6 linked regions of the Canis lupus familiaris genome follow. The protein of the gene in region 6 interacts with the protein of the main gene of each other region in a pairwise test. Links are inferred from orthologs where the notes say so. Each region holds a gene or a part of one and is shown on either strand. Other genes may lie near its edges.

Region 1 (5,031 bases), on a different chromosome or scaffold from region 6:
TTAATAATGTACTACTTGTACAGCTCATTTATAAATTATCAATATTTAAATATGTACCACAACATGCCTTCTTAAAAATTATGAATTTAGATGGGCTCATCCAAGATTTCATAAAGGCCCAAAGCAAGCTATTTAAGTACAGAGAAGTAAAAAATAATTGTGTATGATTCAATTCCATTCTTGCAAACTATATATAACTCAGTATAACAAATGTATCATTTGATATATATTTGAAAACCCCCAGTATACTATATGAAAGGGAAGTCCATTAAATAATTTTTACTACTTGAAATCCTGTAATGTTTTACCTTATATTTTCCCTGATCGCAGCCACATAAAGTACTTTCCATGGTATAGCTTCTTTGTACTCCTATCTCCCTCCAAACTACAACACGTGCTGTGGATTCCTTAGATTTTTCTACTACAAAGCTACAGCTGCTCATGCAAAATGCTGGGGCAATATGGCTCAGTATCTTAGGTAAAGTCTGCAAAGATAAGAATGATAAAATATTTCAAGAAGGTTTTTTTTAAATAATAATTTTTTTTCATTTTAAAAAATTTTCATGAAAGCACAGTGATTAGAGCAGGGCCATGTGGATCTTCTTGCTTTGTCCCCGCCTATTCTAAGCATTAAAATAATTCTTTACTAATTTAGAATTTTCTATTTTCCAAGACGAACAGTAATCAGTTAGAATGGAAAAAAGGATCACTTTCACAGTAGCAACCAATAAATGAACAAAACCTATTCTAAAAAATGTTTAAAAAGATGAAAATAAAACCCATGTTTAAAAAACAAAGCAACTTTAGTCATGAAAGAGGACCTGTTAAGAGATTTAACATTATAAATATCAATAACCTCTAATTAACCAATAGACCTAAGATAATCACAATCAACATGCCCATGACATTTTTTTCAACTTCCTATCATTCTCAGGTTCACCTGGAATGTGTAAGCATGAGGACACAGCCAGGGGCACTTTGAGAGAAGCTTTGACTAGAGAAAAGAATCCAACAGATATTAACCTAATTATATATGTAGGGGAAGTTAAATTGTAATACTGTGTAGGAGTAGATACATTTCCAGAAAGAATTCAGAATTAGAACCAAAGGCAGATGTTAAAATTAGAATTATTAGTGGGGAGAAAACTGATCACTCTCTCACTGCTGGCATCACTGCAGAGCCACTGAGAGAAATAAGCCACACTCTTTAGTTAAGTTCAATTCTAATTGGACTGAGAATTTAAACTCATAAGGAGTAAAATTTCAAAATGAAATTAAAAACAGTAAACATGGAACTTCATTTTTTAAATCCTGGGATGAGAAGTCTTCCTAAACCTCAAACCCAAAAGTCATTAAAAAAAAAAAAAGAAAAAGAAAAAGAAATTAACAAATATGATGCAAGGTTGTTGGGTTTTTTTTGATACAAGTTTTAAATTACCATACATAAACAAAAACATTTTTTAATGTATTTGTTGTCTTAAAAACAGTAATAATTAGAGGACCAGTATAAAAGTAAACAGAGAATAGGAGAAAATGCTCCTTTCTAAAAAAAAAAAAAAAAAAAAGAAAAGAAAATGCTCTTAAAAGAGAGGGAGGGGTCATAATTGGGCAAACATATGAAGAAATACTCAACCTCATTTATAATTACAGATATGCAAATTAAAACAGACAGTTACCTGCCCCAGGTGGCAGCATGATGTCCTAAGGATGGGAAACAGCACTGCCAGTCATTACATAGGGCAGTATACAATCTTTATGTAGGGCAAACTGGCAATACTAATTAAACAACCACTAACAGGTCAGACGACTAAATAAATACATTTTGGTACATCTGTACAGTGATAAAAATGAACAGCAATGCACACTGGCTGTGGTGGCAGATTAAAAACAGAACTTCAGGGATCCCTGGGTGGCGCAGCGGTTTGGCGCCTGCCTTTGGCCCAGGGCGCGATCCTGGAGACCCGGGATCGAATCCCACGTCGGGCTCTCGGTGCATGGAGCCTGCTTCTCCTTCTGCCTATGTCTCTGCCTCTCTCTCTCTCTCTGTGTGACTATCATAAATAAATAAAAATTAAAAAAAAAAAAAACAGAACTTCATACACTACATGTATATATACTTAAGAACAAATGTGCTTAGAGCCAAGTCTCACAAAAAATATGGTAGAAATAAATGATTAGTGACTGAGAGATGATGCCTTTCACTTACTGTGTTTTGTTTTTGGAGTTCCCATTTTTTTTTTTTTTTGGAGTTCCCATTTTTTATAGAACTCTAATCATTTTATTTACTTGGGAAAGGGGAAGAAGAGAGAGGACACCAGAAAGAAAATGGCCCTTGAGTTTCTGCTCATAGCAGTGGTATGCTACTAAAACTTTTTTGGGAAAATAACCTGAGGTGCTTTGTTGAAGCACAAATACAGTAGGAAAACCACTGTGCCTGAACAGAAAACACCCAGGATGTGAGACAGCAAGATCTCCTTTCAGTCCTGGGCATGCCTCAAAATACACCCAGATGCATGGAAACATGGTATGTAACAGATGGCTTCATAAATCAGCACAGGAAGGAGGTACTGTTGAATAAATGGTGCTGAGACAACCGGCTATATATGGGGAAGCTAAAATTAGATCCCAAGCCCTTGTACAAAAATAAATTCCCAATAGATTAAAAATCTAAATATGAAAAGCAAAAATTTTAGAATGTTTAACATGAAAAAATCTGAAACAAAAAAATGGCAAAATGGCAACACTTGCTGAATCTGACAAGTTCGTGCATGTTATTTTTCTATAGAGCTTTGCATGTTTGAAATCCAAAAACTCCAGACTTGTGGGTAATAATTACCCTGTATCCTCCATCTTCCACAACATCACATGAAGTGGCATTATCGTTGGTATGCCATACTGTCTCTTTGATGCTGCAGCCATACATAAATACATTCTTCTTTCGGGAATGGCCATGATAATCACAATAAACCTTGAAAATATATTTTAAAAATTAAAAAACTTCAAATTCACATATTTCCAAATAAAGCTAGTTAATATCAAGACAATTAGTAGAGGTCTGTGTTTCTTTGTCCTTTATATTGTAACTGAGCCACCATTTAACAAGTAGAACTAATAAAAGTAATAATATCTAGTTCTGAAAAGGATCTATGATTAATTCCAGAATGGCTAAATCCTTTCTAGAGCCTGCATCAACCCACCACGAGCTCCTCCTTTCTTATGTATCTACTATTCACCACTTAAAAAAATAAAATTCAATTATAGGTCAAATTTACAGCAGCAATCATCACTGATCCAAGGATTATTAAAACATTTACTTAATTTGAAAGAACATGAAAATGCTCTCAAAAACACTATCTAAAAAAAGATATGGTTTCAATTTAATTTTTAAGAGCATTATTTTTAAAATGAATAATGAAGAACAGGCTTATATATCAATGCTGTTCCTTCTCTAAAGTTTTCCTATCTTTCCCAAAGGAAGATTACCTCATTTAAACAATAATATAATGGGAACATTATACACAAAAGCTGCTGAATACAGAAGCAGCATATATACACAATATGCATAAGAAAGTTAAGTAAAGGGCTCCTGGCAACTATAAAAATTAAACCTGATGAAATAAGAATATGGATACATTGTATTAATTTGACATCATTATATACTGATATTACGTAATTGATAACAGAAGATATTTTAAAGAAATTGCCTTTAAAACGAACACTTTTATAACCATAAAATTAAAAAATTAATAGACTTAACAAAATCATTTCTTTAAATGATACTGAGTCTTAATTAAAATACTGAGTCTTAATTAACAAAATCATTTCTTTAACTAGACAAAGTACAAATACTTACCAGTGGTAAATGTTTCACAGCAGCCAGGTATTGTAGCAGCCCCTTAGCATGGTAAATTGTAGGATGTAAATCTGGATTTGGACTTTGCCATTGTCTATTCAAATCCTCTCCACTTAAAGAACAGCGGTGACTACACATATGTAAAACACAACCACAACAATAAACTCTTACATATATTTGACTTAATTTTATGATTTTCAGTTGAGAACTACTTAACAGTAAATATATTAGTCATTAAATAAAAACTTATTATTTGCTTTATGTAGATTTTGTGTTTCATGCATTTAACTGTGCTAATAGACTTTCAGATATTTAGGTCAACATTTTCAAGCTACAGAAAAAAAAAAGTAGGAGTGCCTGGGTGGCTCAGTCTGTTGAGCCTCTCACTCTTGTTGATTTCAGTTCGGGTCATGATCTCAGGGTCATAAGATCGAGTCAGGCATCAGCAGGGATACTCTCTCCCTCTCCTTCTGCCCCTCTCTCTGCTCACACAGGCACACACATTTGTTTTCTCTCAAATAAATAAATAAAATTTAAAAAAAAGAAAAAAATTAATTCTCAATTCTGGAGTCTTATTCCAGGCTCTATAAAATTTATTAATGGTCACATTTTTTATTCCGACTATGTAATAATCATTTGTTATATATTAACATCCTGTACTTTGACTGTATTAGTTATGTAAATGTGGTATCTGGGAGGTGCCTGGATGGCACAGTCGGTTAAGTGTCTGACTCTTGATCTTAGTTTGGGTCTTCATCTCAGGGTTGTGAGTTCGGGCTCAGCGTTGGGCTCCAGGCTGCACTGGAGCCTACTTTAAAAAAAAAAAGAAAAGAAAAAGTGCTATCTGGGCTGGGCCCTCTTAAGAAAGAGAAGCATAAGAAAAATCTACATTCTTGCAAAAATCAAATATATTTTCATTTAATTGCAAGTATGAAGTATTAAAAGCAACTGAGCAAAAGTGTAAACAAACTATCAGAAGGTGGTAAAGGAAATATAAACAGAATTCCAACTGGTGAGTATGTTCGTGAATTAAAACAAGACATAAAAATCTCATTTTAATTCCATAACACACTTCCTAAAAAGAAATTATTCTAGCTTTTTCATTAAAAAAGTTCCTAAAATGTGAGAAATATCCATGCTACCTTTATTGAATAAAATTTGGTATCCTCAGATTTGCA
Region 2 (5,031 bases), on a different chromosome or scaffold from region 6:
AGGTGCCAAACCCTGTTCTAGGCGGGATACAGCTGCGATTAAAATAGTCTCTGCCCTCATCAAGCTGATGGCCTGGTGGGGAGAGAGATGATTAACAAGTAAACAAATGAATTAACTGTGTTAAGTGCTATAAAACCAAGTAGGCAGCAGGGGGGAGGGGTGCTGGAAGAGGGAGCTCACTATACAGAGAGGTTAGCAGAGCTGGCCTGAGCAGAAGGGAGTGGGCAGGGGAGGGACCTTCTCCCTCCCTCGGCCTCTCGCCCATGCCCAGGAGCCAGCCTCCCCTCCCTGCCCCCACCACCACCTTGAGGGCTGCGGCCACTGACTCTCGCCCCTGCTTTCCATTCGCACACCAGCCATTGAGGATGAGTACAGTGGGCCCAAGCTCGAGGATGGCAAAGTGACAATCACCTTCATGAAGGAGCTCATGCAGTGGTACAAGGACCAGAAGAAACTGCACCGGAAATGCGCCTACCAGGTAAGGCCTGTGTCAGGCGCTGCTCACACCTGTCACCCCACAATAGCATCGCAGCGCTGGCAGTGCCCAGCCTCAGCCACGGAGGGCAGGTTGAGAAGAAGGGTGGCCACGGCAGCCGGCACCACCGAGTGGGGAGTGTGCTGAGCAGTGCAGAGGAAGGCTTTATTTCTGATGCTGCATTTTCGTTTCTGGCATTTCCATCTAGTTATTTTTATTAATAGTTTTCATCTCCCTGCCCCATATGTTCATGCACGTTGTCTTTTCCACTAGATCTTTTACACATTTATCATAGTTATTTTAAAGTCTCTGGTAATTCCACCATCTGGGTCATCTCTGGGTCTGCTTCTGTTGTCTGTTCTTCATGCGTCTCATCCTTTTTTAAATCGTATGCCAGACATTTTGTGTAAAAGAACGGTAGAGACTGAGCTGAGTAAGAATTCTCCGCCGAAGATGGCGGCCCCATCTTGTGTCAGGCCACTGGTGTGAGGGGCTGAATCCCGGCAATCTGCAGTTGGCGCAGCTCTTGGTGGTCACCGCTGACTCGTGGTGTTTTCACACTGGAATCAGGACTCTCCTTCAGCCCTGGTAGCATCCTGGGAATGTCTTTAAGTTGTGAGGTCTCCAGCTTCCAGAACTGTGGGAGCACTCGGATTTTCAGCCCCATAGCCAGATTTTTGGGGGAGTTCTGTGCTCTCCAGTTTGCCCCCACTTTTCCCTGCCCTGCATTCAGTGGTGCCTCCTGGTCAGCCCAGGCTCTCCGGGACCCGGAGTGGGCAGCAGGCAGTCCCACCGGCTGCGCTCACAGCCTGCCCTCCCTTCCAGATCCTGGTACAGGTCAAAGAGGCCCTCTCCAAGCTGAGCACGCTCGTAGAGACCACACTCAAAGAGGTGCGCACTGTTGGGTGGTGTGTGGACTGGCCAGGGGTGGGGGGCTCCCTGGCTGGGGAGGGGCTGTGGAGCTCAGAAACTCACAGACCCAACTGGCTTGGTCTGCCTTTCCTCTCCCCCCACCTCCTGCCTCTCCCCTGAATGTCCCTCTCCCCTCCTGGTCTTTGTCCCACCCTCTCCATTTCTGTGTCCCCTGCTTGTGTCTTTTGCATGCCTCTTCTCGGTCTCCCGTGACCTCTTGCCTCTCCCCTCACCTCTGCCCCCTCCCCACGTCTCTCTCTGGGCCCCTCCCTCTCCGGTGGCCTCTTTTCTTCCAGACAGAGAAGATTACGGTGTGCGGGGACACTCATGGCCAGTTCTATGACCTCCTCAACATATTTGAGCTCAATGGTTTACCCTCGGAGACCAACCCCTATGTATCCTTCCTCAGAAAAGCACACCCTCCCCTTCCTCCACCTGGATTTGAGAAAGGCGCTCCTGCCACAGAGCAAGGCGTGGACCTGCAAAGGGAGAAGCCTGACCAGTTGCTCAGGCACAAGGATGTGGTGGGAGTGGCCGGCCAGCACCAGATAGGCCAGGGCTCGTTCCCTGCATGCTGTGTGACCTGGGCAGGTGGCTCAGTCTCTCTGGGCCCCAGCCTCTCTTCATCTCCAGATGAGGCTGCCACAAGATCATATGTGTAACAACACCAGGCACCGCCACTTCCCAGCTGTGTGACCGTTAGCAATACCTCCTCTCAGTGCCTCAGATTCCTCGTTTGAAAAACGGGGATCGTAGAGTCTGCCTCATTGTTGAGAGGGTTGCAAAGAGCTGAGGCTCTGAGCCTCACAGAGCTGTATAAGTGTTTGCTGAGGTTATGACAATTGCTTGATTAATGGCCACCGTGTGGGGCCACCAGGCCTGCACAGTATGCGGTGGGAGGGTCTGTGTTCCATTTCCCCTATGGTTTTGGGCTTGTATTTGGTTAAGGAGGGGGAGCAAAGTGAGCTGACCACCTCATGTCCCCCTCTACCATCTGTTTCCCTGAGAAACAAGTGAGGTGGGGGATCTCAGGACTGTCCTGCTGAGGCTCGGATAGGCCCAGCTGCCGGGCCAGAGAGAACACCCCAGATCCTCCAGGCTTGCTGACATCCCCACTCCTAGGAAAGAACCGGGAGCCATGGGACCTGGAAAGGCAGGGGAAGAAGGCAGTGCATGCCCCACCTCGTTTTCCTTAGCAGAGCAGATATTTAATGGCGACTTTGTGGACCGCGGCTCCTTTTCCGTAGAAGTGATCCTCACCCTGTTTGGCTTTAAGCTCCTGTACCCAGATCACTTTCACCTACTTCGAGGTAAGCTGGGCAGCAGCAGGGTTTGGGGTCAGTGTGGCCTTGTGTAGGATGAGCTCGCCAGGGAACAAGGAGCCCCGGGGGAGGGGGGGGTCCTGTCCATTGAGAGATGGAGGGGGTAAGGGTGGGCCGGGCTTGGGGCTCCCAGGGGCCTGAGCACTAGTGGTGGCCAGGTTCATGGCCAGGTTCGGGGGGCTCACACAACAGCACTTGGTACACGGTAAGTGCTCAGTAACCACCTGCTGTGGGCTTCTCTGTAGGAGGTGGTGAAGAGGTGGGTCTAGCAGAAGACTTGACTAATCCAGACTCAGCAGACATGGGGGCCTGGGCAGCTTCTCTGTCTCCCCTGAGCCCCAGGAACCCGGGAGGGGAGAATGAGGTTGTGTGTGGGAAGTTGGAAGCACAGCACGAGGCCAGCCCATAATAGGTGTTCTGTAGCAGGCCCCTCCTTGGTCCTTCTGGCTTACAAGGCACAAGGCTTCTCCAAAATGAAGCCCAAGGCTGAACCAGGCCTGCACCTCATGGCCACACACCTGATGTGTGCTTTTCAGACTGTTTCTCCCTCCAGAAAAGGGACCGAGAACAGTGTCTGCACCTTGTCAGGTTTCTGTGAAGGGCCAAAAAGCAGAGGTGTGAATGTTGTGGGCTTGGGGCTGCCAGGCAGTCACCCTAAGTCCCAGGACGTGGGCCCCAGGGGCGCCCAGGCAGGGGATGCTGAAGCTTCTCTTCATTGTGCTGCTGGCCAGGCAACCACGAGACGGACAACATGAACCAGATCTATGGCTTCGAGGGAGAGGTGAAGGCCAAATACACAGCCCAGATGTATGAACTCTTCAGCGAAGTGTTCGAGTGGCTCCCACTGGCCCAGTGTATCAACGGCAAAGTACTGGTGAGGGTGGCAGATAGGACCCCTCAGGCTCCTCCCACCCCCGCACCCATGGGGGCCACACGCAGGCAGATATGCTGGTGAAGCAAGTTGGAGGGGTAGGGTGTGGCTGGCGCCTCCACTCACACAGCCGTGTCACTCCCACATCCAGATCATGCATGGGGGCTTATTCAGTGAGGACGGCGTCACCCTGGACGATATCAGGAAGATCGAGCGGAACCGGCAGCCCCCAGATTCAGGTGACCAGGGTGGGCTGAGTGGCAGCCCCTTCCTTTCCAGGGCTGCAGCATCTCCAGCAGAAACGGGTGGCCCTGCCCCGGGTGGGCTTCACACCCTCGGCAAGGACAGCAAGGCTGAGCCTCTGTGTCCTCTGATTGCCGCACCTCCTTCATGGGGCTGGGCTGGTGAGGGAGCATTTGTGTTCACGGGGAGCACACATCGGTCACTCATTTGTGAGTTCAGCTGCCGAGCCCAGAGAGTGACAGACAAATCAGGGCTCCTGTTCCAGCAGTGAGGACCGACGGAGCGTTCTCATGCACATGCACACAACTGTGGGAAGTGCTGCCCGGGCCTGAAGAGGTTAGGATGGCCTCTCTAGGGATGCCACATTAGAACTCATGGGGAAGGACACACCTGCCACATAGAAGATGTCTGGGGCAAGCACAGGGGGCCCCACATCAGGGGTGAGTTTGCAGGTGGGAGGAACAGCTGGCAGGCCAGTGGTTTAGGGGTAAGCCAGGATGTACGTTAAAGGGATTGATGAGGCCAGACCCCGCAGAGCCTCACAGGCCTGAGTGGTGAGCTTGGGCTTTGTTCCTAGGGCAGTGGGGGCCACAGCAGGCTTTGAACAGCAGGGGTGTGTGATCTGAGCTATACTGTTTAAAGTTCCTCCCATTGTGGGGCCATAATACATTGAATGGGTCTGGAGGAAGGGGAGGTCACGAGGCTCAGAACCCTATTTCACATGCCCCTGCTCAGGGATGCCCTGCCCAGCCCCCACCCCACCTGTGCTGTGGGGTGGGCCAGTCCCTGACGTCCCCTCTCCTCCCCCCCAGGTCCCATGTGCGACCTGCTCTGGTCAGACCCACAGCCGCAGGTCAGTGTGCGCAGGGCTGCGGCCGGCAGGTGTGGGCTGCGGGCAGAGAAGGGTGGGGCGGTCAGCACCCTGAGCACCCTGTCTCCCCAGAACGGACGCTCGGTCAGCAAGCGGGGTGTGAGCTGCCAGTTTGGCCCTGATGTCACCAAGGCTTTCCTGGAAGAGAACCACCTGGACTACATCATCCGCAGCCACGAAGTCAAGGCCGAGGGCTACGAGGTGGCGCACGGTGGCCGCTGTGTCACAGTCTTCTCCGCACCCAACTACTGGTGGGTCCCACCTCCTCCGCTGATCTGGGCTTCTTTTTCTCTCCCACTGATTTTTTTTTTCTTTTAATTTTACAATAACGTTTCTA
Region 3 (5,031 bases), on a different chromosome or scaffold from region 6:
AAGACCAGCTGGACATGCAGACCTGCTCCATCCAACGGGGGGGCTGGCCGACTACTTCCTTGCCCTTCAGATGTTCTCTCCCTTTCACCTCAGGCACCAGGGATTTTAAAAAGTATTTACTACTCTGGGACATTTTAAGTTTATAAGAAGGCATTTGGGGTGTGTGGTGGTGGGGGTAGGTGAGGGAATCAAGTTAGAATATCAGATAAAACCTAAGGGCAACTTCTTCATAAACGAAAATTACCCAAAAAATTACCCCAAGGTATCCTAAGAAATATACAGTATGAACATGAGCAACCATGGTGTCAAAAAACAGGAGGTGAGAAGTGCCAGCTAGTCCTCACATGAAAATCTAAGAATGGACTGGAGGTTGAAATGTGCCAGAAGTGGGCTCAGATGCCAACAAGTCAAGATTTGTGAAAGCAACCAACAGGGATGTTGATAAGGTGAGTGGGAATTCAAACACAGCCCAGAATCTGGCGGGGGGGGGGGCGTCCCCCAGAAAGCAACAACAGGGTGCAGGAGCCCATGGACTCAGAGGCTCCCTCCATCCAAGCTGTTGGGATGGACCAATGCTTTTACTCGCTGTGAATGGCCAGTCCTCTTACGGCGCCGTGACCAGATTTTCTTTCCTTGTGTATCCAAACTACGCATGATCTGCTATCTCGGGAGTTTCGTCAGCCCTTGTTCCCAACCTGGAGAGAATCCGAGATGTATGTTTCCAGCCCTATTAAACTTGTGTCCTAAACTCACCCACTACACACACAGACGCACGCACTCACGTGTGCAAGCGCACATACACACACATACAGATGGTATGTGGCGTCTAATGCTTTTTTTTTTCCAGATGTGTGACTTCATGGGGTCGGTGAGCTGCCCTTTGCACGGGGTGGGTCAGTGGCTGAGGGTGAGTGCCACCTACGCTCCTAAGCGGAAGCCCTACCCAGGAGCCCTAATCCGGCCAGGGCCTCCCAGAAGCCAGGCGGGCGCTGTCCAACTTCAGCACCACTCCCTATGCCTGCACGACAGCGGAGGTGGCAGGTGCAGCGCCATGGCCCCGCAGGGTTCTGGTCCTACCTAGTTTTTGCATGCATGCACGGAGCCTTTCTTCAAGATTGGACACTCTGCTCTGAAGTTCATCGTAGTCATAGGCGCCAATTTCCTCTTGCAGCTCGTTAAGCACTGACGTCAGATTCTGGACCTCCTCCTTAAATTGCAATACCAATTTGGCATCGGCCTTGTACTCTTCCAACACAGGTATCAAAGGCCTAAGTTCATCCATTTTCGCTTTTATCGCCTGCAAGGTTAAAATAAGCTGGGTTCAGTGCTCTGCGTGCAAAAACTTGCAACACCCTTCCTTGGCCTGGCTTCTCCCCGGGCGAGGGAGCATGTGTGTACACTCCTGTTTCATTTATGGGTTTATGTATTCTGGCCCAAGAGAGTTAGAAGAGCATATTAACCAGTCTTCAGAACACCAACATATTTGGGAAAGGTCTTTATTGTCAGTTTAGAATGCAACATCTTAAGGTTACATGCTTTTAGTCACACACACAAAGTTTCTTTTTTTTTTTTTCTTTTTCAAAAAATGCATTGACAAGGGTTTCAAACTATCCATGGAATGCATCTACAGTCGCATGCAAAAGAGGATCCTGGTTGTGTTCAAGGTTCCTTAGTGATATGGTGCTAAGTATTGGAAAATAATAGTAAAAATGCATGGTGCAAAAGCTCTCTGACCCTCTTTCATGGTTACATGGGAGTGGACTGCTTCTTCAGTCACTGCAGCATTGAAAAAACTCTTTTAAGTTAGCCCTGCAAGCAAGAAAATGAAATACCGTTGAAGAGCTACCTCACTAGCCTGCCTTAAACAGACAGCCATTCATAGACAAATATTTTCATGGTCACTTAAAAAAAAAAATCACACTTCATTGCCAGATTTAGTCCAAACCAACGGCTTTAACGGTTATAGAGATTCCCTCACAGTTCCTGGTGGAATTCATAATGCAATTAAAGCATGGTCAAATGCCAGGGGTTGCTTTTTTCTCCCCCGGGGCCATACGGCCCCAAATTTTGGAACTGGGAGAGACGCCTGCGTGGACAGTGCCTGCAAAGACGAGCTAGCCCATGGTGGCTAAAGATGCCCCCGTCTTCAGAGGAATTGGAATCTACCATGGCGAAGGGAATGCTGGCCTTTCAGGGAGAGACACAAACTCTTTGGTCAGGCGGGTCGAAATTTCTCTCCGAGATAATTCACGATGACGTGTCAGAAGCAAGGACAACATGTTCACCTGCCTCCAACGTGAGCAATCGGCTCATTGCTCCTCAAGAGGATCAGGCCTGCCATTATTTTATTTATAATATAGATTTATTACTTCGTTAGCCTGCCGTTTCGTCTATATAATGTATCGCTTTTAAAAGCGGATTAGTTCTTGCTTCATGCAGGGAGCACATCAAAGGAAAACATTAGCATAAAAAGGACAGGAAGACAGAGCATCAGCAATTTCTAGTCAAGCGGGGCTGTGTAATTTGACCTGTTCATTTATATCCGGCCTAGATTGCTAATTAACATGCATGTATACCTTAATTAAGGTGCATATAATTTTTCAATTTGATCATTTTGAAGCTGAGCAAACTAGAGGCATATATATATACATATTTCTATATATGTATATATAATTTTAGGTCAAACTCTGGCCTTAATGTCCAGAGTTACCCGGAGAGAAGAAAAACGAAAACAAAAACCACTTACCAGGAAGTGAGAAAGATGTTGGTGTCTCTCTCTTTCCTCCCTGCAAATCTACAGTGTGCCTTGTCATAGCTAAATTAGGTCAGATGTGAAAAATTGCCCTGAGTGATCCCTGCTCAGAAATGGCTCTAATCAATTAAGTTAATCCTTGGCTAATGTGATTTACCTACAGCAGCTGCAGAATGACAAGGACCAGTCGTGTCCCTTCCCAGCTCATTTGTGCACTGGCTTGAGAAGCCAGGTCCTGGGACCCCAGCCTGAGAAGCTAACGGGAGCTGAAAACCACTGCTCCATCCATCCATCCAACCATCCCTTTCATGGGCCCTTTTGCCAAACCAGGGCGAGGGCAGCCCGCCTCTCCGTTCCCAAGGATGGAGGCCGCGTTCAAGGCAAAGGGCAATTTCTGCAGGGCTCCTCCCCCACCCCGAGTTTCTATTTCTGGAGGGGAAGGGGATGGCAGGAAAGGACAAGGAGAGGGAGGATACATACCTTGAACTGCCTGGCCAGGTGTTGCTTATGGCTCTCCTCCACCTGTTTGAACTTGGACTCCAGCCCTTTCATTTGGTTCTCCATCTTCTCCACGTACTGCAAGTCCCTCTGAGTCCGCCTGTCCAGGACCTCTATGGACTGAGACATGTTTTGCACCTGCCAAAAAGGCAACAGGTTCAGGAAAGGAGCGGCAACAGGCGCCCACGCCTGCCGTCATATCTGCCTCTTAATACATGACAGTGACCTTTTTTTCCATGCGGCCGACGCACTGGGAACCAGAGGCGGCCCATGCATTATTTACCAGTTAATCACCAGCGTCGGGGAGTGTTATGACCAAGAACTCCCCAAACAGAGCAAATTGGTTTGGTAAACATTTCCTCTGCCATGTTCCAGAATGCTTGCTCTCACAGCCAGGGATGCAACAGGAGCCCCGGGTCCTCCCTGCTCACAGCTCCAGGTGTATATGGCTTTGGGTGACCTTTTTTTTTTCCCTCCTTAATTGTCCGGGGGATGGTATTGTGTCTCAGTCTCTTTATTCTGCAGGATGAAACGGGTTAGGTGGGCATAAAAACCAACAAGGATGAATAGTGCTGTCGGGCTCCCTGCACCCCCGGTGGAGGCTCCCTGTCCCCCTAAATCTCACTGGAGTCCTGCCATGAAGCTCGATCGCAGGAGCGTGGAGCCAGGCTACGAGGAAACTGCTCCCCCTGATTGTGCATCAACCCTTGTCCCCATCTTGCGCGCCATCCATCACGCCCCACGGTATCATAGGTAGATGACTGCTCTGCAAACACACACATTCAGAGCATAGAGTCAGGAATCAATCACCCAGCAAATGAAGAATCGCTGTTTTACATCTTTGCAGGCGGATCTGAATTGAGTCTCGCCTCAAGATGGAACTTTAATATTCAACAGGATTCCAGAGAGCTTAAAAGGAAAACAGTTTTCATGCAGCCACCTGCCAATGCATTTTATTTTTGGGAGACTGGCTGGTGCTTCTGAGCACATGCATTTGGGGCGGTGGGGAGGCGGATGGAACTCAGGATTGCGCGGTGGCGTTTGGGTCATTTCTCAGAACCTCATCCAATTACCAGGGACGAAGCAGCTACCCTCACAAGCACAAGCAAATCTCCATTTCTGGTTCCTCGCTGCCTTCGAAAATCCTCTCCCTTTCAGGAACAGAATCATTTGGGTGTGACACGTAGCTCAACTCGGTCAGTGAAAAGATGACAGTGCGGTTTCTACCACTTACGGTACATCCTCCACCCCCGCAAATAAAACAAAGTAAGAGCGCAACCGAAAGAAAGGCTTCTCAGTAGGAGAAAAACCGATATTACTCATTGCAGCATTTTTAAAATGCCTGGGATTTTTATGGCTCGTTATTTAAAAGTGACACACAAATCCAGTTTAAAAATCCAGGTATGTAAAATACAACACGTGGGTGACTCTGACGTGCTCTGATCCTGTCTCTTGAGTCGTTTTATGGGGACCTGGAAAATATTTGTTCTATTACTTTCTATCTCCCTGCCCCTCCCCCCCGCACCTGTCTGGTTCCGTCACAGCGAATGACCCGCAGGACTTCCTTTGAGAACATTTGTGACTTTTGGTTCCCTTCATATTTCAAAGCACAGCCCAGCCAAACGTCACCTCCTCCAGAGAGGCTTCCATGATGTGCCAAGCCAGAAGCAGCTGCATACCACTCGGAAAGAGCATCACCTTGTTGGCACAATGCCTGCCCAGCAGTGACCCACACATCTGTCTCAACCACGTTGCTGGACAGGAAACATGGAGCAGGAGGG
Region 4 (5,031 bases), on a different chromosome or scaffold from region 6:
GACAATTTTAGTGCTGTATATTGTCACATAACTCCCTTTTGGAAGTTAATGTTTTTATTGAGACCTTTCATAAATGATTCATAGAAATCATTACACTGTATTCAAAGGAAACATTTCACAATATCCAAAAAACAAAAACAGATTTTTATACTTACTGTGCCCCACCAGAGAGCATCTGCATATGTAGAAAACTCTTTATTGGCATCCTTTTCCACAAGATAGACAAGGAAAGATGAAAATATAAGAACCAAAAATCCTATGTACCAAGCTGTGATTAATTCCTAGATATAAAAAGAATAAAAAGCTGTTAGAGGTAAAAAAATCTGTGAAAAAGGAAAAAAAATCTATGTATTCATTTTTCTACTTTTCGGATATTTATGACAATGTATAAATATACATACATATATATTTATGGAATTTACTTTTTTATTCAGAGAATGTCCCAGTGAACAGAACCACTTCCTCAGTCTTTTATTTTTATGGTTGCACAGTATTCTAAATACATGGGTTTACTATAATTTATTTGAAGCATGAGGACTTGGAAAGCAGTATTTTTTTATTTGAGTAGAGTTGACACACAGTTACATTAGTTTCAGGTGTACAGCATCCTGATTCCATTTCTCTGTATGTTATGCTGTGCTCACCACAAGTGTTACTGCCATCTGTCACCACACATCACTATTACAGTATCACTGACTAGATGCCCTGTGCTGTGCCTTTCATTCCTGTGACTTAGTCATTCCATAACTGTAACGCTGTCTCTTTCTCTCCCCTTCACTGATTTTGCCTCTTCTCCCAATCTCCTTCCCTCTGGCAACCATATGGTGACTTTTAAGTAATCCATTATACATTGTGCTTTAACTAATTTCTGAAATGACTAAGTATGCTTGATGGGTTCATTAAATATTCCATGGCAATCAACGAAAAGGTTTCTAAAGTCTTATTCTATAATTCAGAAAGCAAGCCTTACTTTGCTGTGAGCATAGACCACTGAACCTAGTAATTTCCAAGTGCCTCCCCTTCGGTCCATGCGCACCATGCGGAGGATCTGTAGGAAACGGAGACTTCTGAGTGCGGACGTTGCAAAAATATTACCCTGAGTTTTTGCAGAAACAACTGCTATTGAAGCGATAAGGACAATGGTATCTGAAAGAAACAGGTTGAAATAACCGTAAGTAGCAGGACTTGGACGTTTTGTTGCTCAAAATAGTGTTTCAGAAAGGTTCGCTTTGACCTATCTGAGGCACAGATAAACAGATCCTGAACCCTAGCCTGGAGTAGTGGCTACCTGGGCTCTGTGACAATTGAAAAATGAAAGAACGGAGAACAGGATCTACTTATTACCTTGGTTCTGACTCTTTGGCCACTGTATGCTTTACCTATGCAATTCTGTATCATTTGCTACGTAACCTTGGACAAATTGGATGGACAATGGCCTTTGGAAAGTTGAGTGTTCCAGGGAGTTCTAAGGCTGTATTCTTAGTTCCAGGGAGTACTAAGGCTTGGTTTCATTTGCATTCCTGTCTGGCAGAAAGGAACTTCTGCCTCAGCCCTACCCTGGAGGCTTCCTTCTTAATGCCATAGAGAGATCCTACCCTGCATGGCTATGAAAGTTCTTCTTGGTATAACCATGTCTCTTGTTTTCTTTCCAAAGAAGCTCGTGGCTTCTTTCTGCAAAAAATTCCCTTGTGTTGTGGAGTCTGCAACTTCATATACTAACAAAGGCCTCAGCTAAGTTGGGCACTCTAAGCTCTCTGGATAGAGTACTCTTTATACCTGGTCAGTCAATTATGTGTAAGTTTGGTATACAAATTAAATAATTGTACATTTATTACAACAGAGTATTAATTATCTTCACTGTGCATTGCATGGGAATGGATATTTGATGTTTGGCGTATTGGCATTTGACGTAAAAAATATCTACCCTTTTGCAAGCTAAGAAAGAGAAACAGGGCAGCTAATGAAGGCATAGAAAAGATAAAAGGGGACTTAATTGCTCCAAGGGCAAATATCTGAGTGATGGGAAGTAGGCTTTGAAGTGGGAGAAGTAAAGTGGGAATGAATGGCCTCCTATGGCAATTTTAAAATAAGTTAGCTTGACCTTAACATCCTCAAATAAAATTTCTTTCCTGCTCCAAGTGGGCTGTGCATGACTGGGCATCCACACTCCAGAGAGGAGTTCCACTTCAAGGGCATTGGATTTATAATGTTTCTGTGATCCTCAGGATTAACTGCTGTATGAATGTGTATTCATCATCCAGCTCAATTCTTTTTCCTGTACTGAGAGAAGTCTCATCTCTGGATGTGGACTGAGTAGGTCTTTTGAATGACTCTCCTGGTGCCCCTTTTGGTCAGGATTTGGAGTGGCTGTCAGTACAAGGGTCAGCTGAAGGGCTTTTTCCAATCAGATCTAACCACTATATGACTTTGTGGGTAGGGGCACAGAGAGCCACAAGCAAATCCTTGAGTTATAGCTCTATGCAGCTATTAGAAATGGGAAGGAATTAAATGTGTTGACACAGACACCAAAGACATATTTTAAGTGAATAAGAAGGCACTTGCAAAGCTGTATGTACAATGTGATCTTATTTTAATAAAAAATAAATGACTAGGAAAATCATACATATATATGCATGCAAATATATACAATATATGTATGTAAACACATGTAAATATACACAATATATACAGATATATACAATAATATGTATATATGTATACAATAATCTGTATATCTGTATGTATATATACACAGATTCTTACCATTAATTCTCTCCAGAGGTAGAGAGTGGGGTGAGTATGTGGGTAAAGGGACTTTTTACTTTCTAAGTTATTAATTTCTGTAATACTGAATTTTATAATAATGAAAATGTCTTTTGAAATCAGAGAAAATCTTTAGGAAAGAGTTAAGTGTAAAAACATCTCTTGATTTGCATCATTTGGAGAGATTTACTCCTGAGACAAGTGGTTTATAGACAAAAAGACATTTCTTATATGGCCCTGCTAGATATGTATTTGCTTTTATTTCTCATTGTAATCCTGCTTCCTTCCAAGTGTACAAAGGAAAGAAAAAGGAACAATATCCGATTTACTGTGTTAAAATATTTGAGATAGTAGAAATAAGTAAATGACTTGCAGGGATGCAGAAAATACAGCACTTAAAACTTACTGCATGCCTGGCACTTTCTTTAGTTCTGTGTTTTTTACAAATGTTAATTATTTCATCCTTATAACAACTGTTTTGGTTAGGTCTTCTACAGATCCCATTTTACAGATGAGAAAAGTGAGGCACAAAAAGCACATATTGTATTAGTTTAGAAGAATCAGCTACTGAGCTGTTAAATTACTGCACAAAACTATGAAGTTAAAAAAAAAACAAACTATGAAGTTAGAATGAAGCTATGAAGTTAATTCATTAGAGAAAACCTAGACAAAGTAAAAGCAACACCGCCAGTTTGAGACTATTAAAAAAATTATGCACACAGTGAATCATAATCTAAGTGTTTGAAGTCACAAAATATGCAAAGGTAACTACAGATGTGATTTAACACCCTCATTGTAATTCAGATCAGATGAGAAAGTTGGAGTTCAGTAAAATGAAATCACAGATGAGCGACCAAATGGCAAACAATGAACACAGTCACAAAAATGTTTCTGGTTGGATTACAGTCCTCTACTGAATTTTGCTGTCAGTACCACCTAGAATATTTCCAAGGCCAATATTTTAGAAGTTATGACTACTCTTTATTTTTATGTGTGTATTTACTCTTTTTTGCAGTCTGCTATAGAATGGAGGCTCCACAAGGTTGGATACTTGTAGCCTAAGTACTTACAACAGTGCCTGAAACATGGTAATCACTTGATAAATATTTATAGAATGAAGTGAGATTAAACACTCAAGTTAGATTAGCTTGAGCTTTGTTCTGTTACCATATCAGTGTTTTAATAACTAGAATAAGAATCTGAAATACTCTTAAATTAATCAAGGGATCACTTCAAAATTCCATCTTGAATTCTATTACAACATAATAAATTATAGCTATCATTCTTTAAAGTGATAAATATCACTAAGATTTCCATTTTATAAAATTAGGTAGGGGCAGTCTTTAAAGATAGTGACATAGGAAGCTACTGAACTCCCTTCCTCCCACAGAGTCATCAAACAAACCATTGCACATGGACTAATTCCCTGTGAAGGAAATCCAGAAATTAGCCAAGGGACTCCTACACATTTGGTAAATAAGAAAATACCCATACTGGAATGAGTAGGAAAGGCTAAGACATAATCTTGCCTTAAACTTCACTCCTAGTCCAGTATCATACAAATGGGAGGTCACTCCCAAATTCCAGCTTCTCCCTGAGAGGCTTAGGGTTTGAACCCACATTTAGCCTCCTAATTTTAAAACTCCTACTTGAGGGACAGGACTTCCAAACGCCTTGCTCTGAAAGCCAATAGTCTTGAACTACAAGACTAGACTTGTAGTCTAGTCTACAAGACTAGAGCAAACAAAGAAGCAGCTATTAATGGGGGTGAGCATCATTGCGGCTACCACCCCAGGGCTCAGCGAAGAAGGAATAGGCAGAAAGGCCCATTTCAGTCTTTCTCTCAAAGGATTCTATTTGCATATTTTTAAAAAGTTTTAATTTAAATTCCAGTTAGTTAACATACAGTGTAATATTAATTTCAGGTGTACAATATAGTAATTCAACACTTCCATATATCACCTGGTGATGATCACAAGCGCTCTCCTTATAATCCCCATTACCTATTTTACCATATACGACAACCCCATAGCTAGCATCATAGTCAATGGTAAAAAAATAAGAGCTATCTCTCTAAAATAAGGAATAAAATAAGGATGCCCAATCTTGCCACTTTTATTCAGCATTGTATCTAAAGTCTCAGCCAGAGCACTCAGGCAAGAAAAAGAAATTAAAGATACCCAAATTGGAAAGGAAGAAATAAAACTGTTATTATTTGGAGATGATATGATATTATATATAGAAAGCACTAAAGATTCCACCAAAACA
Region 5 (4,711 bases), on a different chromosome or scaffold from region 6:
TTATTCATGAGAGACACAGGCAGAGGGAGAAACAGGCTCCATGCAGGGAGCCCAACGTGGGACTCCATCCCGGGTCTCCAGGATCACGCTCCGGGCTGCAGGCGGCGCTAAACCACTGGGCCACCGGGGCTGCCCCATGTATAACATAATATGTATGTTTAGCAAGAGAGACTTTGACTAGAACGAAATCCCCCAGAACACTGTTACCTCTGGGTATCAAGTGATTCTTTTATTTGTTCAGGAGAGACCCACAGAGGCGGGGACATAGGCAGAGGGAGAAGCAGGCCCCCAGCAGGGGGTGGTGGGGTACTCGATCCAGGGATCAAGACCTGAGCCACCCAGGGGCCCCTCTTGGGTTCTTTATATCCTGCATTTGCTAAGGTGACAGTGGATTACTTGGAAAAAATTTTTTAAATGCCATGAAGTGCAATTATGATTACATTGATTCTAGTATCTTCTTTTCATTTAGATTATGAGGCATGGTGTAGGAGCAGTTCTCCACGACCTAAATGAGGAAAGCTTACTGGCTTTGGTGAGTTTGTTCCAAGAGAGTGTTTATTTCTTAAACTTATGGTAGGTTGTACCACGCCCTCTATATCACTGAAAGGAAATATTTTCTAAATTGTGTAAAAGAAAAAGCCAGGTCTCTTCTCTGGGTGTTATTTTACAAGCTTACTATTTATTTACTTAAGATTTTAATTTACTTACTCTTGAGAGACACAGAGAGGCAGAGACCCAGGCAGAGGGAGAAGCAGGCTCCCTGCGGGGAGCCCAATGCCTGACTAGATCCCCGGACCCCGGGGTCACACCCTGAGCCAACCACTGAGCCACTGGGTGTCTCACAAGCTTACTATTTAAAAAATGATCAACCTCATGGGCAAAAGAAAGAGGCCTATGTGAGCACAAACGGCTCTGTGTGGAACTACGTAGGGTATTTAATAAACTAAGCATTTGATATACTTTGTTAAATGCAAACGTTGGATTCAGAGGAGCGAACTAGTATAGGTTTTAGGAAAACTCAATTGCAAAAGGACAACCCTAATGCCTTTATATTTGCATTTTGCTTTCTGTAGGTGCATTCATCTTGTTAATCAACTTAGCTACATAAACAAGAAAAGGAAATTTCAACTGTTCAAAGGTATGGTTTGGGTAATTAGTCAACCTAATTTGTTCTCAACTTTGTTCTTTTGGGGAGAGTTATGTTTAAGAATGAGGGCAATATTTGAAAAGTCACTACATGATGCACACTATAATCATTCATCCTTAAAATACAACACAAATCAACAGCTACAATGCTTCTTTATTTTAACAAAAAGGATATAAGGAGGGTGAGAAAATAGGGGGATGGTAAGGTAGGATGTAAAGTGTGGGGTGTCTCTGGACACCATCCCGCTCTTCCTGCCCCACACCCAAAAGTTATTAAATAATTTAAAGGACACCATTTACAGTACCAGAACACCATCAAAATAATTGTTTTTTTTTTTTTTTTTTTATCAGGGTCAAAAAATACAGTGATTATGAATGTGCTGTGACCAGTTATGGAATTTTACAGGTAACATAACTATAGTCAGCAGTCCAACGGCGTGCACAGTGCCTTCAATTAATGCACTTGAGCATAATTACATTTCTGGCAGGGTCCACACCCCCAAGAAAAGGCAAAGCTAAGCATTTCATTTCTACATTCTAAACTCTGGAATCACAGAGCCCAGTTTAAAAGAAAGTCACAGTGGATAAGAGATGCCTATAAAAAATACAAGGTGTTCCTTTCAAATCAGAGGAATTGTGGGACTACATTCATTTCTTTTACAAAATGCTATTTAAAAAAGGACAGAGAATCCAGTTCATTGTTATGCTACAGGCTGAGACAGGAGTGAGTATATTGCGTGTTTTGGTAGTCGGTCTTCAGGCTTCCTTTCATTTTCCCCCATAGCCCCAGGTTCCTTTTGGGTGAAACACGTGAGTCCTGAATGAAACATATAAAAATGTGTTTGCATCTCTCTTCTTGAATTCTGCGGACTTCGGAGCCCGCAAGTCATGTATCCTACCATCAGTGACCACGATCTTTTCTTTAGCTTTGTATACCTATTCTTGTAGAACAGTGCATTGCACGAATGTACAATACTGGTTTTCATCTATACAGTTTCTGTAATAATTATGGAGTAAAATAAGTTAACTTTTCTAATGAGAATAGCTGACGGGCAGCATACATCTTTATTTTACATTTTAAAGTCTCTGCAGGCATCTACTTTGGTTAGTTATCAACAATCGTAACGTAAGCACTGATCAGAGAACTGAGCAGCATTCCAATAACATTAACAGATATATTATTTCTTTTCAAAATACCGGGAAAGCCCAGCTTTAAAATATTATTAAAGTGTTCTAACATTTACACACTATGAAGAGTTAGATCTAATAAAATAAAATTTCTTCAAAAATAATCTTGCAGTGCTCTTTTAGGCATGCTCTGACATGTTATCACCAAACATCCATACCTTGAAAATAGGACTATCACATACTCACACATCCCCGCTCACACACACATAATCCCTTATACAGACTAAAAAACAGAAACACCCACGCCCTTATCCCACGTGTTGGGGAAAAAAAAAAATCCAATGTTTTTTTTTTTTTTTCTTTTTTGCAAATAAGTCTGTGTATATCTATCCGACTGAAGGTTCTTCATGTAGATGATTAAGCGTCAGCTGTAGAGTATGCTTCTGGCTGCTGGAAATCTAGGCAGCTTGGCAGGTCTTCAGCTAAAATGAACGAGCCTGGATTTTAGCCTCATGTCACCTGCTTTCCAACGTCTCAGTATTAGAGGCCATTATTGCAAACAGTCTTGGAATTCTCTTCTTTCTCCAGAAAGTAATGTATTTGTATGCATCACTTTTAGCCCTTTTCTTTTTCACATGGGTTAAGTAATTAAAAAATTCCTTCTTCATACAGTTAATTGTGGGAGGTATTGGCAGCTGTTAGATTTCTTTTCTTCAGATCTTGGGTTTTGCCGTTCTTTATCTGATAAAAGCTTGGCATTAGTTACACTCTGGTTCTGGATGCTGCCAGGAAAAGTTATCAGTGAACTGCAAGGGTTTATAAAAGGTGCCCATTAATGTTCTTCGTCATCTTCCCTAAATGCCTGAAGTTTCTCAGAATCCAGTGCTCACCAAATTTCCAATTGGTTTGGCCCGTGCTAAAAGCTGGTATGATTGCACTATGCGTAGAGACTCTCTTATTTCTAGATTAAGTTCCATCAGTTTGTAGTTGGCTTCTGACATGTCCAGGTCAGAGCCTATCACTGCAAAGCTTCCCGTCTGGCCCAGTGTCTGATGATGGAAATATATGTGTAACAGCGTCTGCACGGGGTCATCTTCACAACTGCCAAAGATATCATTGGGCCAGAGAGACCTGAAATACACAATATTTTTAAGTCCTGAGACTCAAACAATTATTAAAAGTAAGTACATTTTAAATTAATATCTATAGCAAAATTTCCTTGTGAATCATTGAAGATCTGTTTTGATATTTGAGCAAATGTATTACTCAGATTAACGAAGCCTGACACCTAAAATTGGTGTCATTTCAGTGATAACTGTAGAAAATATCAAAGTCATACTTTCATAAAGACATACTGAAACATTAAAGCCCAAACCCAGTCATTGTAAAATCCCAATCTAGGTTTAGAGATAGGAAATCCCTTCACATTTTACCTGAAAGCTTTTACTTGTGCTACAGCAGATATAAATTCCTTATTTTTCAAGGTTTCAATTAAAGAATGAATGGCAGTTTCTATAGTAGTTTGTGCGGCTTTGGAGATGTCAATTTCTTCATTTTCTGAAGCCGACTCTGCTTCTTTGAGGATATTTTCCAGTTGGGCAAGTTCCTCGGACATGTTGATGACCTAAAACAAATCAGTATACCTTGAAAGGAGGATCTATTTGTATATCGAGTAACAAAAAGGGCATTTAATTGGCAGTAAAGATATATCTGATGATAGGCATCGTTTTTTTTTTTTTAAGATTTTATTATTTATTTATTTATTCATGAGAGACACAGAGAGAGGCAGAGACATAGGCAGGCTTCATGCAGGGAGCCCGACGTGGGACTCGATCCCAGGACTCCAGGATCATGCCCTGAGCTGAAGGCAGGTGTTTAACCGCTAAGCCACCCAGGCATCCCTAGGCATCGTTTCTCTTAAAGATTTGCAAATGTTAAACTTAGTGGTTTAAAGGCAGTTAATATTTCAAGTTCTTGATTAGGTAGGCTACCAAAGAGTAGTCTTCAAATACTCTTGATAAAGTAAAAGGATATAGGAGCGCCTGGCTGGCTCAGTTGGTGGAGCATGTGACTCTCCATCTTGGAGTCGTGAGTTTGAGTCCCATGTTGGGAAATGTTATGATAGATGTAATAAAACTGGTCATAACCAATGTTTATACTGGTTTTAGCGTGATCCAGTTGCACCTTGGATAGTAAAAATCATTTACTGTTATGGGGGGGAGGTTGTGAATTTTTAACATCAAAGGAAAAGTACATTTTAAAAGATTACTTATCCAACGTATTTTATATAAACCAGTATGTATTTTTAAAATTGATTTAACCATTTAACAAAAGTGTAAGCATTTCCCGTTTCAGGACCAGCTCTGACAAGGGGAGGGATAAAAGACTAAAGTCCCTGCCTTTGAACCTATTCATTACATGATTTCCAACATTCAAA
Region 6 (5,487 bases):
AACTCAAGAGGTTTAACCAATTGATCTTTTGAAACTTCATCCAGCAATAAATTCTGGGATTCTGATTATAACACTTGATGACCAGTGACCCTAGTGATTAGAGGAAGCCCCAAAATCTCAACCATCTATTTCTGAGCTATGACAGTAGACAAGTGACCAAAAAGAAGGAGGGCAGGGTGAGGAGAGCAGACACCAAACCACGGATCATGTCAGCCACTGAGCACAGCATGTAGGCTCCTGACTGCCTTTCAAAGCCAAATATATATATAATATTCATTGGTCAGCCACAGTTCTTCCACTTGCTGTGAAAACTTGGAAACTGATTGCAGTCCGCTCAAATAAGCAGCTGGTAAACTGATTTCAAAAGAAAAAATGGATTCAGGATGGTCAAAGTATCTGTGGCAGGCGCTTTAAAAATTGCAGGATTGTTGCACAAGACATTCACTAAGGAATTTTTACCACAAAGTCATTAACATCAAGAACAAACAACATAAGACTCCCAAAGGCTAAAAGTCTTATGTTACTAAATGGTGCTGGCTGAAAAATGGCCACAAGTGGTCTAGGCTGTGCCAGAGGCGACTGTCCCCACCCCTAGGAGTGGCTGCCAAAAATGTCTGGAAGCAGGGCTCTCTGCTCACTTTGTATGAGAACCCAGCTTATAAACTGATTATTATCATGATTATCAAAACAATGAGTCTAATTCTAATAACATTAGTTTAAAATGTTACCTATTTTTATACTCAAAATCTTTGCTTGATACTGGATTTTTAGATCTTACTATTTCAAGATCACCACTGTACCCTCTCTTTGTTCTGAAGGTCTTTCATTGAACTTTGGCCAAAACCACAATAAAACTCAGACATCAACAACTTAATTTCTAATCATTTTCCAATCAAATCTTTAAGATCATTTTAAAGGAAAAGTTTTAATGCACGTAATAAATCTTTACTTATTTCCCAAATTAATGTCTTGATGATTGAGTAATGAGCAAGTATTACTTTTGTCATTGAACAAAACAATAATAGTTTGCATCCCAGTCTTAAGACATTTAAATTGATTAACAAAACACAGAAATGGGTTACAAGAACAGAGATGTGAAGCTATTTGCCTGCATTGATGGGATCATAGTGATTTTTAATGTTCTTTTTCTTGTTTGTTGTTTTCTGTGCTTTCTGTGATGACTGTGTAGTGCTTTTGGAAGAAGAAAAAATAATAAGATAAATTTCATTTGGGAAAGAAATGATTTTGGAATGGTTTCTGCAGCAGACAGACCTGGCATTCACTCTCCCTCGGATGCACAGACTTTCTCTAAAGGTCCATTTCCCTCTGGGGGCATCTCAGGTGAGCAGTAAAGTCCCTAGAGAAATATACAGGGTCCCACCCCTGCACGATAATCGTGACGCTGCAAGCTTCAATACCAATTTACACCTCTTGTGCCACCTTAAGAGTTCTGGCAAACTTAAATGTTTAAGTAAAACATTTTTGAGATTTCATTTATTGTCTGAGCTTTGCAATGAATCCTCGAGATATGTCTTTCAAGATCTTAATGCTTTTTCCCTCTGCAAATTTTCATTATTTGTGCAAGAAAATAGTTTAAATGGGATTTTAAAATAGGGATGAAAAAAATTAAGTTTATTTCAAAACCTCATCTGCCAGGGCTAACAATTCACTCATGAGTATATACACTTATGTATGTAGTGAAATTATTTTTTAATGTTTTTTTTTTTTTTAAGTAATCTCTATGCCCAATATGGGGCTTGAACTCACAACCTTAAGATCAAGAGTCACCTGCTCTACTGACTGAGCCAGTCAGGTGTCCCTCAGATTCTTTAAACATGTTAGGATATATATTATCTCCTATAATCTAACACAGGTCTACTCTGAACCACGGCTTGTCTCCATAACTTCAGTTTTGCCAGTGGTTGAGAACACATTTGCCAGAGGCACCCACCCTAGGGTTCTAATCGTGGCTTTACATAAACTGCTACGTGACCTTGGGAAAGAGGCAAAATAATCCTGAATCTCAGCTTTGAATAGAGAAAATGAAGATTATAAATATCCAATGCACAAAGGTTCAGGATGGATTTCATCAAAGGAATTCCTGAGAGTGCCTGGCACATTATAGGCTCTAAAAAATTGCAGATGTTATTATTCCCTGCTAGTAGCAGTCACGTCTTATATTTGCGTAGTGACTCACACTCTTCGAGGCACTTTCAGATCTTCTACCCCATTTGATCTTCAGGCAGCTCTATCAGCACCAAAAGCACTAATTGCTACCCCTACCTTTCTTGTCTTTGGTCTTTTTTTTAAACAGATGAGGAAACTGAGGCCCAAGGTTACAGAGCACAGAAAGCAGATCCAGGCTCTTTTTGGTCAGTAGCACTGATTTACAACAAAACCTCAAAAAGCCTTCGGAGGCCGTGTCTGGATGAAATAAAATTAAGTTTCTTTTAAAATACTCCATTACTGGGGGACCTGGATGGCTCAGTCGATTAAGCATCTGACTCTTGATTTCAGCTCAGGTCACTATCTGGGGCGATCACGAAATGGAGCCCCCATCCAGCTCCATTCAGTAAGGAGTCTACTTGAGATTCTCTCCCTTTCACTGTCCTGTCCTTTCCCCTCTCTAAAATAATTAATAATTTTTTTTTAATAAAATAGGAACGCCTGGGTGGCTCAGTGGTTGAGCGTCTGCCTTTGGCTGGGTTCCCCAGGGTTCTGGGATCGAGTCCCGCATCAGGCTCCCTGCAGGGAGTCCGCTTCTCCCTCTGCCTGTGTCTCTGTCTCCTCTGTGTGTCTGTCATGAATAAATAAATAAAATCTTAAATAAGTAAATAAATGCTCTGCTATTTATACGTTAATCAAATCAAATTGGTATTTCCACATCACTCCAAATTATTTAGGTTTCGCTCAGTAAAAACAGGAACTAAGGTTATTCAGAGCGCACTGTGTATCTCAGGCACTGGAGTCCGCGCTCCAGATTCACTGCCACATTGAAACCGCATAACCTAGGAGGGAGGCACGGACACTGCCCCCACTTTACAAATGGGTAGACTGAGGAGTGAGCGAGTCCAGGCTGGACTGTCTCCAACTCCCAGCTCTTGGGACTGTCCCTATCCGAGCCTCATGTGTCTAACCGAGCACACGTTAGGGTCAGGAGCGAGCCCTCCTCCATTTGAGGAAACCCAGGTTCCAAGAGGCGGGGGAAGCGTCCGGAGTCCCCGGCCCCCTCCCGGCGCAGCAGGGACACACCCCGGGGCACCGCGACTCCAAACCCGGTTCCCTGCGAGGGAAGTCCTGCATCCGCCGCAGGTGCCGAACAGTGCGACGGCCGCGCCCCCTCATTGCTGACAGCGACGAGCCGTCCCAGCCCTGGGTGTTGACCGGGGGTGGCGGCGGGACCCGCGTCCGGGCGGCGCGGTGGGAAGCGGGAGGCGGCAGCGCTCTCGGGGCAGCGCCTCGGGAGGTGCCCGCGCCCCGCGCCGCCGCCGCCGCCGCCGCCGCCCTCCGCCCGGGTCCCGGCCGCTGGACCCCGAGAGTCGCGGGCGCCGGCCCAAGCCCGAGCCCGCCGCGGGACCCGCCGGCTCGCAGGGGGCGGGGGCGGGGGCGGCTGGGACCGGACCCAGCCTCTCCTGCCCGCGCGCCCCGCGCCCTGCCTCGGTCGCCCCCGCCTCGCAGCGGCGCGTGAGCCCAGGTGGTGGCGGAGGCGCAGCCCCGCCCCTACGGCCCCGCCGGGACTCCCCGCCCGGACTCCCCGCCCGGACTCCCCGCCGCCCCCGCCGCGCCCCTACCTGCGCGCGGGCCCCCGCCGCCTCCGGCCGGCGCGCCTCGGGCTCCCGCGCCCAGCATGCGCCCCAGCGGCTCCCGCGGCTCCCGGGCGGCGGACAGGCCCGCGGAGGGGAAGCGACCGCGCGCTGGACGGGAAGTGGGGCGGGGGCGGGGGGCGACGCCGAAGGGGAGGCGCCTTCCTCCGCGGCGAGGCGGCCGCGCGGCGGGGCCCCCAGCGCTTCCCCCGGGCGAGGGCGAGGGCGAGGGCGAGGGCGAGGGCGAGGGCGAGGGCGAGGGCGAGCCGAGGGGAGCCGCGCGGGGAGGGCGCGTGTGCAGGGGAGACGGCGGCCGTCGGGGTGCGCTCTGCGCGGGCGCCTCCCCGACGTCGCCGTAGGGAAGTGGCCGAGGGGTCGGTGCAAGAGACGCAGGAGGTGGGGGCGGGGAGGCGGGACGAGGACAGGCCACACGGCAGAGAGATGCCAGAGCAGTTGCTCAGAGATGGGAATCCAACTTTCTGACTCTTCTGGCAGCAGTGACTGGTCCCAGAGCCCCTCCCCACGTTGGCCCCCGGCCCAGCAGGCAGGCTGTGGCCCTGGTGGAGCTCTTAGGGCCCCTGACTGATGTCCTTCACCCCTTCCTTTTGGTTCAACCTAGGAGGCTGCTGGAGCACCTCCCCACCCCCACCCCCACCCCCTCCCCCACCCCATATAGCACCTGCCAGAAATGGTTCTTGTCCTTAAGGACCTCACCTCCAGGGGGGAACATAAACATCTGCGTATAAAACTAACTAACAATATACATGCCGAGAGCCAGAGGCTTGGTTGGCATTAAAAAATGTTGCAGAATTCGAGGGCTAAGAGAGTATTTAAAGTGTCAGGAAGCCTTTCTGGAGGAAAGGGAAGGATCTGGCTAGAAATAGAGCGCCAAGATGCTTGAAAAGATAAGACCCCGGGACGCCTGGGTGGCTCAGTGGTTGAGTGTCTCTGCCTTTGGCTCAGGGTGTGGTCCCAGAATCCTGGGATTGAGTCCCGCATCGGAATCTATGCGGCGAGCCTGCTTCTCCCTCTGCCTATGTCTCTGTGTCTCTCATGAATGAATGAATGAATAAATAAATAAATAAATAAATAATAAATAAATATATAATAAATAAATAAATAAATAAATAAATAAATAAATAAATAAATAAAATCTTTTTTAAAATAAAATAAAAGATAAAACCCCTGTGGGTGCAAACACAGATGCGCTTGAAAGCCAGCATGTTTGGGGACAGGATGACTATGAATATGGATATTAAGGAATGTGGGAAAACAGTGGAAGGAACACAAAGTTGGATCAGGCTGGATTTAATGATATAGACCACTAAATGGAGATCTGGAGTCAGTGATTTAGTTTGAGAGATTAGAAGGGCATCTCACTTTTTGTTCGGTTAGTTGACTTAAACATGGACCAAGAGGTGATCTACATTAAATGCTAGAGGTGGCGATGCCAGACTTGTCTTGGAATACTGTAAAGGAACTACCCAAGCGCTTAGGGAGATTGGAATATTGGAATGAAATTATCGTGTAAAAGCTGCTCTCTGGGAGGGTCTTGAGGACACACCTGTCACCATGACTCCGGTAAATAGCTTTGCGACCCAGTATCCTTGGTCATTCTTCTCTGTGGGTCAGAAATTACAGTGGGAATTGCAACCACTGAACTGGGACCCTTCAGTGCAATGGG

Evidence for each region. The genes of interacting proteins can lie anywhere in the genome.
Region 1: the proteins of DISC1 (region 6) and AGTPBP1 interact in a two-hybrid assay, tested with the Homo sapiens proteins (2 studies listed by BioGRID and IntAct). The link is inferred for Canis lupus familiaris from reciprocal best matches to the Homo sapiens genes DISC1 and AGTPBP1.
Region 2: the proteins of DISC1 (region 6) and PPP5C interact in a two-hybrid assay, tested with the Homo sapiens proteins (2 studies listed by BioGRID and IntAct). The link is inferred for Canis lupus familiaris from reciprocal best matches to the Homo sapiens genes DISC1 and PPP5C.
Region 3: the proteins of DISC1 (region 6) and OLFM1 interact in binary tests that used the Homo sapiens proteins (3 or more experiments, as listed by UniProt). The link is inferred for Canis lupus familiaris from reciprocal best matches to the Homo sapiens genes DISC1 and OLFM1.
Region 4: the proteins of DISC1 (region 6) and KCNQ5 interact in a two-hybrid assay, tested with the Homo sapiens proteins (2 studies listed by BioGRID and IntAct). The link is inferred for Canis lupus familiaris from reciprocal best matches to the Homo sapiens genes DISC1 and KCNQ5.
Region 5: the proteins of DISC1 (region 6) and FRYL interact in a two-hybrid assay, tested with the Homo sapiens proteins (2 studies listed by BioGRID and IntAct). The link is inferred for Canis lupus familiaris from reciprocal best matches to the Homo sapiens genes DISC1 and FRYL.

Annotation. Positions count from the first base shown.
Region 1 is NC_049222.1:74,592,120-74,597,150, reverse strand, and holds part of AGTPBP1 (cytosolic carboxypeptidase 1), read right to left. Parts: intron 3,984-5,031; coding exon 3,854-3,983; intron 2,969-3,853; coding exon 2,837-2,968; intron 486-2,836; coding exon 309-485; intron 1-308. UniProt on the Homo sapiens protein: Metallocarboxypeptidase that mediates protein deglutamylation of tubulin and non-tubulin target proteins.
Region 2 is NC_049222.1:110,161,376-110,166,406, reverse strand, and holds part of PPP5C (serine/threonine-protein phosphatase 5), read left to right. Parts: intron 1-356; coding exon 357-478; intron 479-1,300; coding exon 1,301-1,366; intron 1,367-1,683; coding exon 1,684-1,782; intron 1,783-2,591; coding exon 2,592-2,697; intron 2,698-3,440; coding exon 3,441-3,583; intron 3,584-3,731; coding exon 3,732-3,819; intron 3,820-4,635; coding exon 4,636-4,676; intron 4,677-4,766; coding exon 4,767-4,945; intron 4,946-5,031. UniProt on the Homo sapiens protein: Serine/threonine-protein phosphatase that dephosphorylates a myriad of proteins involved in different signaling pathways including the kinases CSNK1E, ASK1/MAP3K5, PRKDC and RAF1, the nuclear receptors NR3C1, PPARG, ESR1 and ESR2, SMAD proteins and TAU/MAPT.
Region 3 is NC_049230.1:51,050,035-51,055,065, reverse strand, and holds part of OLFM1 (noelin), read right to left. Parts: intron 3,389-5,031; coding exon 3,233-3,388; intron 1,810-3,232; coding exon of another isoform or gene 1,804-1,809; exon of another isoform or gene 1,481-1,803; intron 1,298-1,480; coding exon 1,078-1,297; intron 1-1,077. UniProt on the Homo sapiens protein: Contributes to the regulation of axonal growth in the embryonic and adult central nervous system by inhibiting interactions between RTN4R and LINGO1. Inhibits RTN4R-mediated axon growth cone collapse.
Region 4 is NC_049233.1:35,492,801-35,497,831, reverse strand, and holds part of KCNQ5 (potassium voltage-gated channel subfamily KQT member 5), read right to left. Parts: intron 1,147-5,031; coding exon 971-1,146; intron 282-970; coding exon 156-281; intron 1-155. UniProt on the Homo sapiens protein: Pore-forming subunit of the voltage-gated potassium (Kv) channel broadly expressed in brain and involved in the regulation of neuronal excitability.
Region 5 is NC_049234.1:45,000,006-45,004,716, forward strand, and holds the end of FRYL (protein furry homolog-like), read right to left. Parts: intron 3,899-4,711; coding exon 3,708-3,898; intron 3,406-3,707; coding exon 3,147-3,405; 3' UTR 1,281-3,146; downstream 1-1,280. UniProt on the Homo sapiens protein: Plays a key role in maintaining the integrity of polarized cell extensions during morphogenesis, regulates the actin cytoskeleton and plays a key role in patterning sensory neuron dendritic fields by promoting avoidance between homologous dendrites as well as by limiting dendritic branching.
Region 6 is NC_049225.1:8,246,030-8,251,516, forward strand, and holds the start of DISC1 (disrupted in schizophrenia 1 protein), read right to left. Parts: upstream 3,870-5,487; 5' UTR 3,850-3,869; coding exon 3,792-3,849; intron 1-3,791. UniProt on the Homo sapiens protein: Involved in the regulation of multiple aspects of embryonic and adult neurogenesis. Required for neural progenitor proliferation in the ventrical/subventrical zone during embryonic brain development and in the adult dentate gyrus of the hippocampus.